Coturnix japonica: one gene and its partners. The main gene of each other region encodes a partner of the protein of the gene in region 3 in a complex. Links are inferred from orthologs where the notes say so. Each region holds a gene or a part of one and is shown on either strand. Other genes may lie near its edges.

Region 1 (4,836 bases), on a different chromosome or scaffold from region 3:
ACTTTATTCAACGTTTGAATAAACAAGTAATGAGAAAGGTCAGATTGAAGTGATTCACTAGGATTTTCACTCAATTAGCCCTGTGGTGCAATTACACGTTATTGTGCCAGCTGATCCCAGTAGGTCCAAAACCAATTTACTGCTCATGCACGAGTGCCTGAAGTGTAATCCTTGAGTTAAATGTGTTCAGAACATCTGAAGAGTTCCTGAGAAGATCCGATGGTTTGTGCACTTGCAGTAGGGCCACACTGGGCTCCTGGGCTCCAGGAAAAGCTAGAAGCCCCTATGGAAAGCAGCTTTGGTGATGGAAGCCCTACACCAGGGGGAACCTGAAGGCACAGCCCTGGCGGCTGGGAGCACACATTTCACCTACTGTGGGAGGAAGGATACCAGGAAGAGCAGAATGGTTTGTTTAAGTCATTATGGTGCTCCATAACTTGTTAATGGTTCACTGTGCGCTTGCAGATGGCTGGTATTTTTCACTGCTAAACATTCACCAGCTTGAATTAAATAATTGATTTCTTCTACATAAAGCTTCTATGACTGCGTTTCCTAGCGGAGGCCACTGTTGCTGGACTAAACTGCCTCTCTGGGGCTTGAATGTGGTCCAGACATGAATTTCCAGACTCAAAATCTGAACCTGCAATTTTTTTTTTTGTATTTTGTACCGACACTGTATCTGTCTTTATAAACAGGGCCCCAAAGCACATGGAGCAGAGCAGAGTGGATGTAGTGGGTCCATCCGACGCTCACCAGACAGCTGTGCAGAGAGACGCTGAGGGTAAATCTGTGCTGCCTGGTGGCTCTGAACAGCCACACACCAGGCTGCAGAGCTGCAGCAGAGCATGCCGGCCATAGCCATGCTCAGTTGGATGCTACACTGACAGATGTCTTGCTCTCCAGCTGGGACCTCTCCAGCAGACTACACTGCATACAGTGGAGAAACCCGCTCTGCTGGCATGTCTGTTGTAGGACATAGCAGGGCTGGCACAAGAAGAGACAAATAGTCACATGTTTACTAGAAGCATCAAATATTTGGTACAAGAGAGACCCTGCTATGAGATCAATCAGTTTTCTGCCATCCTTCTCCACATCAGCTTGTCAAACTCGCGGAGCAGCTTGGATTCAGCTTGGCCTCCAGACATGTGGGGAAACTAAGGGCTGCCTGACTGCAGGCAGCTTCTGCCATGAAGCAGAAACGCCTCTGGGTTTGCTGGTGTATAAAATGGAACTATTCCCTTCCATCTTACAGAAACACAGCAAACCCCACAGGGACCAGTAAGAATGTCAGTTTCTTTAAGGATGTATTTTGGGATAAAGAACTCAACATTTCTTGAAGTGGAAAGATGAATGTTAAGCTTACTATGTGTTAAACCACAAAATTAATGCAAATATATATGTATGTATGTATGTATGTAAGGGTGGCCTCTGCAAACTAAGCAGGAAACGTGCCAGATGAAAACTGACAGCAGACTGAAGGTCATCTTGCAGATGAACTAACAAGTCTTGATGCGAAGCCGGATCTGATGCTTGCAAAGCAGGGTGCAGGCATGAACGAGATAGCGTTATCTGTGCTGCCGTTAGCTCGGTGCATGAGATGGTGCCACACAGCCAGAGCTGCGTGCCCTGGGAAGTAAAACTGACTGAAGGAGGCGATGCTCCGTTGTTCTGTAGTCCTCTATTTGTGATCCTCAGCCGAAACCTGAACGAACAGAAACGAGGGGAGCCCATAGAGGGGGCGGAGCTGAGAGCGGCCTGCTATGGGGGCGGTACCAGGCGGGACGGGGCCGGATGTTCCGGGTCGGAGGGAACGGGAAGTCGGGACGTGGCCGCCGCAGCGGAGCCGGAGGATGGCGGTGGCTCTGAGCGCGGAGCGGCTGGAGGTGTCTGTGGACGGGCTGACCCTGAGCCCCAACGCTGAGGCGCCGCCCTGCGAAGCGCGGCCCGGACACGGGGATTCGGCCGCGGGGCGGAACCGAGCGGGGCCCGGCTGCCAGAGCCAGGTGGAGGCCGGCGGGGAGGAGGCGGCGCTGAGCCCGGAGCGGAGCTGGGGCTTCGCGCTGGAGGAGCTGTACGGGCTGGCACTGCGCTTCTTCAAGGGTAACTGCACCGGGGAGCTGGGGCGGGGGGTGCGCAGCACCGGCCTGAAAGCGGGAGGAAATAAATTAATAAAGCATCCTCGCTTTTGGATGCTGAGGGAACAGCCGTGGGAACGCGGGGAGGGCACGTTGGCTTTAAGTGCCGTCGGGGCTGCGCCTCGCACCGCCGTGTCTGTGGGAAGGAGCGGGCTGGGCTGTGTGGGCACAGCCGGGTGTCACAGCGCGGCTCCCCGCCAGGTGCAGCACAGCGCTCCGATCCTGCGGGCCGAGATGGGGCTGCTGCTGCTGCTGGTGTCTCTGCGTTTGATTTTGTGCTTGTTTTTTAACCTGTGCTGTTCTGTGAACCAGGAAGGGCTGGGTTTTCTGTGCCAGAAGTTGCCGCAGCCACGTGTTGGGCTGGAGGCACTGCAGCTCCCAACGTGCTGCTCTGTAAAACATGGAGCTCGAGGGAGTTTGTTTCCTACTGAGTATTTGTTTGTAAATCACACTGTGGGAAGGAATATCTCTGCAGCGGGAAATTCCTTATCTCAGTCGAGTGTTATCTCATGGTGTCTTCAGTTTGATGTTCGACCAAAACGAGTAGTGGTGTAAAAGTGAAACAACTCAGTCATAGCATGTAGTGTGCTGCCAGTGCTTCTCATCCTGTGGTAATTACACCTTACATTCATCTCCTTTTGAAGGGTGAGGGGTCATTGAGGTGCTACTTGCATCCAGGTTACAGATATTGCGGTGTATCTGCTGTGTCTCAGGTGTCTCTTTCTTGTTGCTGCCTTCTTATTGAAGGCTCAGTTCATTCTACACCTGCATGGCTCTGAAAATAAGTGCTCTTGTTTCCAAGTTGTTTCAGTTTATCCACTGTGACAACAACCATGGACGTGGGCAGCTGTGTGGATGCTGAGAGACACACACATCTCCCTGCTTTACTTAAAGGAGTAACATCTGGGGGATGTGAAGGCTGGTACTTGTCAGCATAGATCAGTGCTGAGGCCTCACTTCTCATTGTTATTCTTAAGACTGTGCTGGTCCAGAGGTGGGGTGTTGTTTGGCAGACTTGATCTTAATGCTGGCTGATGCCAGAGCTTCTATATATGATGTTAACTGCTTATGCTGCTTCCATGAAGCGAGCAGAAAACATAAGCTATTATCTAAGAGTGGCACCTTTGGTATTTGCTTAAAGTGCTGCTGTGGGAGCTGGGGCAGGGAGGCTAAAGAAGTCACTGGATGCTGAAGGGTAAGCGGGTGATCACCAGTTAAGCAGCTGCTGTTCTGTATCAGTGTGTAAACTGAGCTCTGCTCATAATGCATTCATAATGCATGCGCTTCCTGGAAAGCTGATTTGGAACAAAATACCTGAGGCATGTTACACTGACTGCTGATGCTTGTCTGAGGTGGTACCTTGCAAAACTGCTCAGTGACAGGACAAGGTGGGAATGCGTGTAAACACAATGTGAAAAACACCACGGAAGCTGAGCTGCTGTATTGAAGAGCCTTCAAAGCTGCTTTATTCCAGCTCTGAGAAAGACAGAGGCAGCTGACAGAAGCGCTTTTGACAGCTAATTTTGCCTGTGGAACTGGTACAAAGCTCAGTCGGTGGAGATGGCTCAGTGGAGGTGTAGGCTGTATCCTGCACTTGGGGGGGGGCAGCGTGCTTAGTGTCAGCAAGTCTGTTCCAGTGTCACCTAGCTGTACAGTTTTCCATATTATATGTTTGAAATACCATCGCACTCCCTGCAGTGTTCATGCGCTGCCTGCAGTGGTTTGCGGAGCCTTATGTCTGGATGGGCAGCATGTTATAAACTGTATCGTTCTGTTATCTGAAGGCTCTCCTGCTATCTTAAGTATTCAAATGTTGTTTGACTGCTCCAAGTTGTTTCCTCTTATCCTGACAAGAATGCAACTTCAGCCTCAGCAGTGTATCGTCCACAGTGAATTGTTTGACCTTGTTGTTTGTGTTCTCATTTGATGGCATGTTTGTAGCTCATTAGTTACATAGATGCTTGCTTTAAAGAAGATGGGAAAACCCTATAATGTATCTGTATCAGATCTGACAGGAAGGGCAGGTTGATTATCCTTCTGTTGATGCTGAGTATAGGAGAGCACTCACTGGGCTCTGCAGGCAGGGATTCGCCTCTCATGTTTCTCAGTCTTGGTGTCACCCATCAAAGCTCTGCAAATGAGCTGCATTAATATACGTGATACCTGCTTTTAAAAGCTGTGAGGCAACAAGTCGCAGTTGAAGCTGTTTTCTGGCTTCTTGTAGACAGCTGGGGCTGAAAGCCATCCCATGGGAACTGGACATTGAGAGGGAGTGCAGTAGGTGAGCGGGAGCAGAAGATGCAGCAAGTTGTGCAGTATATCTGACTTGAGATGTACTTTTTCTGTGTTACAGAGGTGTAACAGTGGTGATGCTGGTAGTGCATTGCCACACAGTGACATCCATTTGCATTATCTGCTTTTCATTACTTGCTGTTGGACTGGCTTCATCTTTTTGTGTTTGTATGCGGGGTCCCTGCTGAGGAATCTCTGTTGGGTGGGCATCTGGACAAAGAGTCGCTGTCAGGAGGGCTCTGGCCTCAATAGCTGATGGTAGGTGTGCAGGGACCTTCCTGCCAGGCCTGGCAGTATAGGGACAGTGCTGTGTCTTCATGGCATGCATCTCTGAGGCCTGAGCTGGCAGTAAGTGGGAGCTGGTCCTTCTTGCAGTGTTTTGGGTAGGCTGCTTCATGTCATAAGTGAA
Region 2 (4,800 bases), on a different chromosome or scaffold from region 3:
AAAAGGGCAGGAAATATAAGGGTAGCAGACAGCAGGAGAGTGTCTGTTTGAGAGCAAAGGTGAGTAATGCCTAATTCCTTGGATCGGTTTCAAATGGCAGCGTTTGTGTTATCACAAAACATTCAAGTACCTCCAAAAGTGTATATTCTATATTTGGGCGGTTGCCATTTCAATGAGAATTTGCTACAAAATAAAGGTTTAAGACTTATGTCAAAACTGAACTCTCAAACATAACTCGAAGCAAGTAGCAGCAAACGCTGTGCTGTGATACCATCTGTGTTCACGTACAGCTCTCGAGCTCTCCTCCTATTGCTTCCTAAAGCAGTAATGATAAAAAATAAACACAGATATGATGGAGAAGCACCGTGTGTTGGAATACAAGATGAAGCTGAGCCTTACCATGCTTGTTACAGAAACAAACTCTGTATCCGCATACTGCAACAAAGCATCCCCGGGGAAATAAAAATGAAGGTTATATTCTCCTTCATGTTTAGATTGTCAGTGTTAGATTGTCCCAGCCAAGTCTGGTGAGCCCAGACCATCTGAACACTGCTTTTTTCAGCTCCTTCCTCAAACATCCCAGCACCTTTCTATGTGAAAGTGGGTGAAATTCTTTAAACGCTGGAGGAGATGGAAGGCACCAGAATGGTTGAGAAAGGGGGGGGGAAATACTTCAGTGTTAAATCAGCATAGGAGATAACAGAATCTCAGAATGGATCACAGAATGACCCGGGTTGGAAGGGACCTCAAGGATCATGTAGTTCCAACCCCCCTGCCTGGCAGGGCCACCAAACATACACCTTTACTAGATCAGGTTGCCCAGAAGTTGTGCTCCTATTCACACTGTGCTCTAGCAGTGCTCCAGCCCAGCCCTGTCCAGCTACTCGTCGAGCCCACAAGCGTGCTCACAACTTCCTCTTGCTTTCCGAGAATCACCTCGCTCCTCCTATGCTAATCCCACACGCTGCCTAGCAAGAGATGTGGAGGCTCTGCCTACACACACACCGTGTGTCCCGCACCATTCGTTCTCGTGGTCAGTGAGCGGGCAGGGCAGCGGGCAGAGCTGCTGCTTCCCATCCCCACAGCTGAGATGCGGCAATGTGCCACGTGACAGCCGGGTAAGGCTGTGTCACATCTTGCACCGAGAAGGAGCAGGGTGGAGCTGCGGCTGGAATCTCCATCAATATGAACGCCTGGAGGGAGGAATCTCCCTCTTCCAGCGAGGATGGTTCTGCTCCGTGATATCTTCGGTGCGGGTCTCTAAGGGGGAACCTCCCCGAGCCCTGCACTGTGTGAGGCAGCACACGGGGCAGCTCCCCGCCCCACACGCTCGAGGGAAGGAAGGCGGTGCGGGCTGAGGTGAATGCGGCCATCCAGCACCTCGATATAAAATAAACCAGCCTTTCCAACACGGGCAGCGTTCAGCATTCCAACACCCCCCCCTTTCCTCCTCCTTTTCTTCCTCCTCCTCCCCCTCGCAGGCCCCGGGGCCCTCGTCCCGCACCCCATCCCGGCGGGGTTTGCTCTCGAGCCCGGCGGGGCCGCTGTGACTCCTCGGCCCGGGTGTGAGACACAAAGGCGGCACACACACACAGAGCGGGGAGCGCCGGGGGCCGGCGGGGATAAGGGGGACGCGCGCTCCCGCGGGCGGGGCCCGGTCTCGGCCTGCGCCGGGGGAGGCGCGTGCTCGCGCTCTTGCCCTCTCCGTTGCCATGGCGCCGCTTGACGTCACGGGCGCTGCGCTGTCCGCGCGGGAGCGGCGCGGTGATTGGCGGAGCCGCCGTGTGTGGCGCTGGGAAAGAGGCTGCAGCGCCGCGAGCCGCGACACACACACACACACAGCGCCGCGAGCCCCGACACACCGCGCCTCGAGCCGCACCGAGCAGGTAACGGGGCCCCACACCGACCGACCGCCGGCTCCAGCGGGCGGCAGGCGGGCAGCCAACGGCCCCGGCCCCTCCTGTAGAGCGGGCAGCGAGCGGGGCGGGGGGGGCTGGCGGGGAGGGCGGCGGGGGGAACACGGCTCGGCGGGGCGGGGAGCCTCAGCGCGGGGCCCTCAGCGCGGAGCGGGGGGATACGGCTCACGGCTCCCCCCCCTTCCTCCCTCCTTCCGCCGCCTCGGGCCGGGCAGGCGGCATCCTCCTCCTCCTCCTCCTCCTGCCGCTCCGCCGCCCCCGTTGCCGTGCGGAGGTGATCGGGATTAGGGCGCACGGCGGTGGGCAGGGCTGCGGCTCCCGGCCGCCATGACAAAGGCGCGGGCGCGGCGCTGTGTGGCTCGGCGGAGGGCGGATGCGGCGGGCGCGGATGGGGCGGAGCCGCCCCGAGGCGGGGGCCGGGCGCTGCTCTGTGCTGCGCTGTGCTGAGCCGTGCTGCCCTGCCCGCCGCCCGCGGCTCCATCTTACGGCGGAGCGCGGCCCAACCGCGGTCTTGGCGCTCGGTGCGGGCAGTGCGGGCCTCGGAGCTCCTTAAAATGGCTCCTGAGAGCGGGGCGGATCGACGTGCTGCGGCCTCCAGCCTCGGGCTGCTCAAAGGGCCGGGGGACCGGACGGCTGAAACGCGCTCGGGTTTTGTCGTCTGTGGGAGGTTTACACCAAGAAACTCGTGGTTTCTTGGTGTAAAATGACAATAGGTTGCAGGGTAAGGTGCGGGGTTTTGTGTGTGGAACGCGTGGGAATGAATAAAGCATCCTGACCAAAGCGGGTTTTGGTTAAACGAGCTTTGAAGGATGATAGGTCACCAAACACCAGAGGACCGTGCCAGGTACATAAAAAGGTGGGGGGAGGAAGGGTTGTTCTCCCTTCCCCCCCAATAGGCACAAGGGTCTCTATCAGGAGCCCAAGCCTTGACTGGATCCAGGTTATGAAGCATCCCAACCAGCTTGTGCTAGTGAAATACTGACATCGACGTCATATTTCTTCCCAATTGTAAAAATCTCTTTGTCTCTGGAATATAACCCCTCAGGCCCAGGAGCTGTATCTGGGTCAGAAGGCCAGCGTAGCCTGACTGGAGAAGGGAGGTTCCCACCATGGGAGGTGCGGTCCTTCCAGCTTAGGGCTCTGCTCTGTTCTGGCTCTAGAGCATCGGATGTGGGGTTTGATTGGCACATCCCTCTTCCAGTCCTTTCTGGATGGAGCAGTAAGGTTCTTTTAAGGCACGGAGTTGTATGATACTGTTTGCCTGGCCTTTTTTTTGTCAGTTCCTCTGGCAAAAATACAGTTGGCTATTTTCTTTATCAATTTAGTTGCATTCATAATTAGGTGCAGTTGACACCGAAGCTTGAATGTGCTCTAAAGAGAAAGTGATGGCAAGGAACTGGGATCACGTGTGCACTTAAGATGGGAATTATTTGCTTCTGGTTTCTTTGGATGCTTTTATTTGCGTTTCAGAAATAACTTAAACCATTTAACTTTGCTTCTCTCTTAAAAAAAGAAAAAAAAGGACTTTATGTTTGAGTGTTTGTGTGCCTTGCATTCCAGATTTCAGCTGTACTTCTTAATTCCAGGCTACTTAAAGGATGGCTGTTCTGCGTGTGAGGTTGAAACATCTTTGTCCTTAACCGTTGTCTTAATAACGCCTCGCTATTTTTTCCTCTTCAGAAATCTCAGCATGGATAAAAATGAGCTAGTGCAAAAGGCCAAACTGGCTGAGCAGGCTGAAAGATATGATGACATGGCGAGTTGCATGAAGTCCGTGACCGAGCAAGGAGCCGAGCTGTCCAATGAAGAGAGGAATCTCCTCTCTGTTGCCTATAAAAATGTTGTAGGAGCCCGTAGGTCATCTTGGAGAGTCGTCTCAAGTATCGAACAAAAGACGGAAGGCGCTGAGAAAAAACAGCAGATGGCTCGAGAATACAGAGAGAAAATTGAGACTGAGCTAAGAGACATCTGCAATGATGTGCTGGTGAGAAATAACAAAACTGTTGTTGTGTTTTACCTTAGGGTTGCAGGGTGAATGGTGCCGGGTCTCGTTAGGGATGCCTCTATCTGACCTTTAATTAAAGACAGTGTCCTACAGTATTTCTGAAGGACAAGACTAGAAAACTGTCTAACTTTTCACGGAATCACAGAATTAGCAAGGTTGGAAAAGACCTAGAAGATCATCTAGTCCAACCATTACCAATACTTCCCAGCTAAATCATATTCATCAACACAACATCCAAACGTTTCTTGAACACTCCCATGGTCGGTGACTCCACCACCTCCATGTGCAGTGCATTCCAATGCCTGACTACCCTTTCTGAGAAGTAATATTTCCTAATGTCCAGCCTGAATCTCCCCTGGCGCAGCTTAAAACCATTCCCTCTAGTTCTATCACTAATTACACAAGAGGCCAACCCCCAGCTCACTACAACCTCCCTTTTCTTTCCCTCTAACGTATCAATTCTTTTATATGGGAGTATAATTACAAGCACCAGTATATTTGGAGACATGTTTAAACCTTGTGTTAACTTTTCATAACTATTCCTTTATATGCAGTATTTATTTGAGACTGAAGAGGGGAAGGTTTGGTTTGGGGTTTTCCAGTCCTCCCCTACATGGTAATTGTGTCCCAGATCACACTGATTTCTGTGACTTTAAAATGCTGCACTGGTTGTAAGAGGTAGTTCTTACTCTACGGAAATTGTGCCCCTCCCTGTTTAAGATGATGTAATGTTAGTTATGACTCAGCCATGCAGAAAGCTGCCTGCAGGAAGAGGCAGTAGCAATGCTACGCTAGCCTCTTAAACTTTAGGCTTTCAGAAGTAAACAAAAAAGGAGAGTTCCAAGCTAAGATTTGCTGTGACTTGTAGATATGTTAAAG
Region 3 (4,294 bases):
GCACTCAGAAACTCTGATTGTTTCTTTTTGGGAGGAGAACATTAAAACCAATCACTGAGAGTGGACCTGGGGGGGACAGAGTGCCGTCATCACCTCTTTTTGGATGAAATCAATGGATGTGGGGCTCTGCAGTGGGGCAGAGTGGGGGGAGCAGAGGGTGGAAGAGAGCTTGAAAGGACAAGGAAGGGGAAACCGTGTTGGTTTGTGTTGGTTTTTATGGATGCCAGCCCTTGGGTTTGGAGCCCGGCATGGAAGGCAGCAGTGTTGCAATGGGGGGCAAAGTGAAACAAGAAATGCAAAGTGATGGCGATGAACCTGGAGCTAAACTACTGCTTTTTCTCCTCCTCCCCCCCCCTCCTTCCTCTCTCTGACCGCGCTGCCACCACCCAAAAATGGCCACCAAAACCCCTTCCATCCATTTCCCAGGAGCTCTCCTCGAGCACGGAAAGCCTTGATAACTCATTCTGTTCCGTAAGTGGTTTTGTTCTGCTCCTGGGCCCTCCGTCCTACAGCAGCATTTCCTCTGCCTCCCCCACCTCCAAACCCCACTGCGGCCGCACAGCACCGACCCCCACGTAACTGCTGACCCCGACATCACACCAAAGGCTTTCTGCCCCATTTGGGGATCAAACAAACCCACAGCTGGGGGTTGGACCTGGCTGCTCATCACCAAACCAAAGTGGGCACGATGGAGGGGGCTTCCCCTCCCACTGAGCTGTGAGTCCTGCCCTGCCACGCGCTGCCCTTTGTGTCACAGTGTTTGCAGACAAAAGAGGAAATGCTGTTTTCCTTGAATTTGTCCTTATTTGAAACAAAAATCCTCTGCTAGCTGGGGTTTCATTTGCTTCTTCCACGGATCATTTCCCCCCCTCCTTGCGTTGCACTTTGGGCTGTCAATCCAACCCAGCACCCCCCAGCAGAGCCTCCTTTTGCTGTGAGCCTTCTTTCAGTTTGGAGCCAATCGCATCTTTCTCATTTGTTCCATCCTCCTCTTCCTCCTCTCCGTGTTCCCTGGTTGGGATTTACAGTGGGATCCCAATATGTAGTCCATGCTCAAACCCATTGCCCTGGGCAGCAGCAAGTGATGCCTCATACATCCACAGCCCTCAGGGTAGGAACTGGAGGGGGAGGATGGGACTGGGGTATCCCCAGCACCTCACATGGGCACCCATCCCCTCCTCATATTCCTCTGGAGCTCAAGAATCCTTTGCTGAGAGCAGGAAACAAACCTGCAGCAGTGCACCCATGGCACAGTGCTGTGCCACCCCCACCAACCCTGCTCAGATGTGGGCTCTCCTCTTTGGGGTTTTGTTTTCAGGTTGGATATTAGGAAGTATTTCTTGGTACATTGGAAGGGGAAGGCGGTGGGGTCACTAATGCAGAATGGCAGAGATGTAGCACTTGGGGACATGGTGAGGGGGGCTGGGGAGATGAGTTGGGATCTGGAATGATCTTTTCCAACTTCAGTGGTGCTGCAATTGGGCAGAGCGGGATGGATGGGGTGGCACTGGGTGATCTCAGAGGTCTTTTCCAACCCTAAAGACTGCGTGGTCCTTTTTAGGGACGTGGATAGTGGGCATGGGGAGGATGGGTTGGGGTTGGATGTGGTGACCTGAGGGATCTTTTCCAACCTCAGTGACCCTATAAGTGGGCACAGTGGTGGGGGTAGGCTGATGGTTGGCCATGATGATCTTAGTGGTCTTTTCCAACCTCAGTGATCCTATGGGATCTCCTCCATCTCGGTGTTTGGAGGCACAGCAGGAGGTGAGGAGTCCACGCTAGAGGCTGGGAGGGAAGTGGGGGGTTGGCTGATGCTGCTGTATCTGCCCTCCCTTTGCTTTTCAGGGCTCAGGATGGTGCCAGCCCTGCAGCCCCAGGCAGCCATAGCCAATAGCAGGAGCACCCTCAGCCAGGAGAGCTTTCCTTCCAGGCTGTGCAAGCCCTGCTCCTTTATCTGAAGCAGAAGTGCAGCCACCTGGGCTCTTTGCAAGCATTTATCCCAAATTTACCAATGGGGAAGGATGGGGGACCCACACCTTGTTGGCTCAAAGGGGGGGTGGGCTCACAGAATACAACATCTCGGGTTGGCACCTGGATTTGGAGGACTGAGGGAAGAACCTCATCTCAATCCCAATAATGCCAAGCAGTGCTGAGCTGGGGGATGTGCTTGGAGCAGATGGGCTGGGGAGGGCTGTCCTTGGCCACGTGTTTGTGGTCAGAGGAGCTGAGAGCTGAATGTTTCCATCCAGAACATGAATGGCAGAGGATGGGTTGAGGAGCAGTGCAGTGCTGCTGGCATCAGGGGAAGGAGCTGTGGGGTCTGGGGGGAGCAGGGCTGAAAGTGATGGGGAAGATGGGCCTCTGCTGGAGCTGCATGGATTGATCCCAGCCTGGACTGGGTTGGACTTTGCACAATGGCAGCTGGGAGTGCTGCCTGGTCCCAAGTAGCCTCCACAGTGACCCACGGGGTGGGCACACATCCAGTCCCACAGCTGTGCAGCCTGGATTGTAGACATTCCATAGCAGAGCGGTGGGAGAGAAAGGGAAGCGGTGCTGGAAGGAGCAGAACATCTCCAGGACATCATTCTGCTCTGGGAAGAAATGGGATCCAACAGAGCAGAATGGCCCCAAAGGCTGCAGAAGTGCCTTGGGCAGCAGTGGGGCTGAGCCCTGGCTGGGGGGGGTTTAGATGAGGACTACACTGCATTCCCATTGCCCCCTCCCAAAGGGAATGAGCAGTGCTGCTCCTCTTCCACCATTTCTTTCCTTTGCTCTTGGCCAGTTTTTGTTTTGCTGCCTTCTCTCATGCACCGCTGCTTGTTGCATGTGCATTTCCTGCATGGTTGTGCAGTGAGCACGTTGTGTGTGAGTTCAGTCCTGCATTTCTCGTGGCGAAAAATCAGCCATTAATCACTCCTTGTGCTGATTGATTGGGAACTTTGTCTTTCGAAGGCTGCCCTTCACCTGCGGGTTATGAGGGCCACAAAGCTGCACTTCGATCTGTGCCTGATGATTGGGATACAGAGGGGGCTCAGAGCTGTGCTGTGTGGGATCCCGGAGCTGTGGGGTGGATGTGGGGATTGATGGGGCTCCAGGAGGGGATCTCTGGGTCTGTGATGGGAGGGAGAGGCGTTGGATCATCCCATATCGGAGCGCAGGGTGGGATGGGGAGAGCAGTGTTCCCTCTGGAGCTAAATGAGCAGCATGCCCAACCCGCAGCCCTCCTCACTCTGTGCCCTCCTTTCCCCTGCAGCCCGTCAGGCTGGCACCCGAGCGGGAGTTCATCAAATCCCTGATGGCCATCGGGAAGCGCCTGGCCACGCTGCCCACCAAAGAGCAGAAAACACAGCGGCTCATCTCGGAGCTGTCGCTGCTCAACCACAAACTGCCTGCGCGCGCATGGCTGCCCACGGCCGGCTTCGACCACCACGTGGTCAGGGTGCCTCACACGCAGGCGGTGGTGCTCAACTCCAAGGACAAGGTGAGCTTTGGGGTGTAGAAGGTTTGGTCCTCTCTGAGCATCCCCCTCTGCTCAGCATTCACCCCATGAGGCCAGAGAGCAGCTCTGCGCTCAAACAGCCCCATAACATCACTTTGCTTCCTCCAGGCTCCCTATTTAATCTACGTGGAAGTGCTTGAATGTGACAATTTCGACACAGCGAATGTCCCAGCGAGGATCCCTGAGAACCGAATCCGGAGCACGCGGTCGGCTGAGAACCTCCCCGAGTGTGGGATCACAGCTGAGCAGAGGACAGGCAGCTTCACCACCGTCCCCAACTACGACAACGACGACGAGGCCTGGTCTGTGGATGACATCGTGGAGCTGCAGGTGGAGGTGAGGCTGTGCTGCCATACAGAGAGACCCCGCAGTGCAGCCAGCAGAACCTTCTGAGGGTCAGCAAAGCCAATGCAGGGTGTGGGTCACTGCAGACTCTGCTGTCGCTGCAGGTTGAGGATGGAAGAATGGAGTGCAGTGCTGCTGAAAGGACTTGAGGGCAATGGCACAGATTGCCCTGGGAGGTGGTGCTGCCCCATCCCTGCACACCTCTGTGGTCAGGCTGGTGGGCTGTGAGCTCTGATGGAGCTGTGGGTGTCCCCTTTCATACAGAGGGTTTGGATGAAACGTCCTTTTAGGGCCCCTTTAACCCAAACCATTATGTGGTTCTGTGACCTTAACGCTCATCCACAGAACCACGGGATGGTTGGGTTGGAAGAGTCTCTGGAGATCAGCCTCAGAACCATAGAAATGGTTCGGTTTAAAGGGACCATGTCCCTGATCATCGTGAGGGGTTGG

The links. Proteins that work in one complex are often made in the same cells at the same time.
Region 1: the proteins of PI4KB (region 3) and ACBD3 are in contact, whole or in part, in an NMR structure (PDB 2N73), measured with the Homo sapiens proteins. The link is inferred for Coturnix japonica from reciprocal best matches to the Homo sapiens genes PI4KB and ACBD3. Residues at the interface, in NP_001317650.1 of Homo sapiens: Val37, Gly38, Val42, Ile43, Asp44, Pro45, Val47, Ala48, Gln49, Lys50, Ala51, Cys52, Glu54, Val55, Leu56, Val59, Lys60, His63; in NP_073572.2 of Homo sapiens: Gln245, Ile246, Ala249, Leu250, Gln253, Thr254, Gln257, Phe258, Tyr261, Gln265, Tyr266, Leu276, Leu280, Gln283, His284, Gln287, Tyr288, Gln291, Leu292, Val295.
Region 2: the proteins of PI4KB (region 3) and YWHAZ are in contact, whole or in part, in a crystal structure (PDB 5NAS), measured with the Homo sapiens proteins. The link is inferred for Coturnix japonica from reciprocal best matches to the Homo sapiens genes PI4KB and YWHAZ. Residues at the interface, in NP_001317650.1 of Homo sapiens: Lys290, Arg291, Thr292, Ala293, Ser294, Asn295, Pro296, Lys297; in NP_001129171.1 of Homo sapiens: Asn42, Ser45, Val46, Lys49, Arg56, Phe117, Lys120, Arg127, Tyr128, Gly169, Leu172, Asn173, Val176, Tyr179, Glu180, Leu216, Ile217, Leu220, Asn224, Leu227, Trp228.

Annotation. Positions count from the first base shown.
Region 1 is NC_029518.1:14,888,637-14,893,472, forward strand, and holds the start of ACBD3 (Golgi resident protein GCP60), read left to right. Parts: upstream 1-1,787; 5' UTR 1,788-1,850; coding exon 1,851-2,100; intron 2,101-4,836. UniProt on the Homo sapiens protein: Involved in the maintenance of Golgi structure by interacting with giantin, affecting protein transport between the endoplasmic reticulum and Golgi. Involved in hormone-induced steroid biosynthesis in testicular Leydig cells.
Region 2 is NC_029517.1:116,496,233-116,501,032, reverse strand, and holds the start of YWHAZ (14-3-3 protein zeta/delta), read left to right. Parts: upstream 1-1,751; 5' UTR 1,752-1,886; intron 1,887-3,596; 5' UTR 3,597-3,606; coding exon 3,607-3,900; intron 3,901-4,800.
Region 3 is NC_029540.1:2,286,660-2,290,953, reverse strand, and holds part of PI4KB (phosphatidylinositol 4-kinase beta), read left to right. Parts: intron 1-426; coding exon 427-471; intron 472-3,253; coding exon 3,254-3,481; intron 3,482-3,607; coding exon 3,608-3,835; intron 3,836-4,294. UniProt on the Homo sapiens protein: Phosphorylates phosphatidylinositol (PI) in the first committed step in the production of the second messenger inositol-1,4,5,-trisphosphate (PIP). May regulate Golgi disintegration/reorganization during mitosis, possibly via its phosphorylation.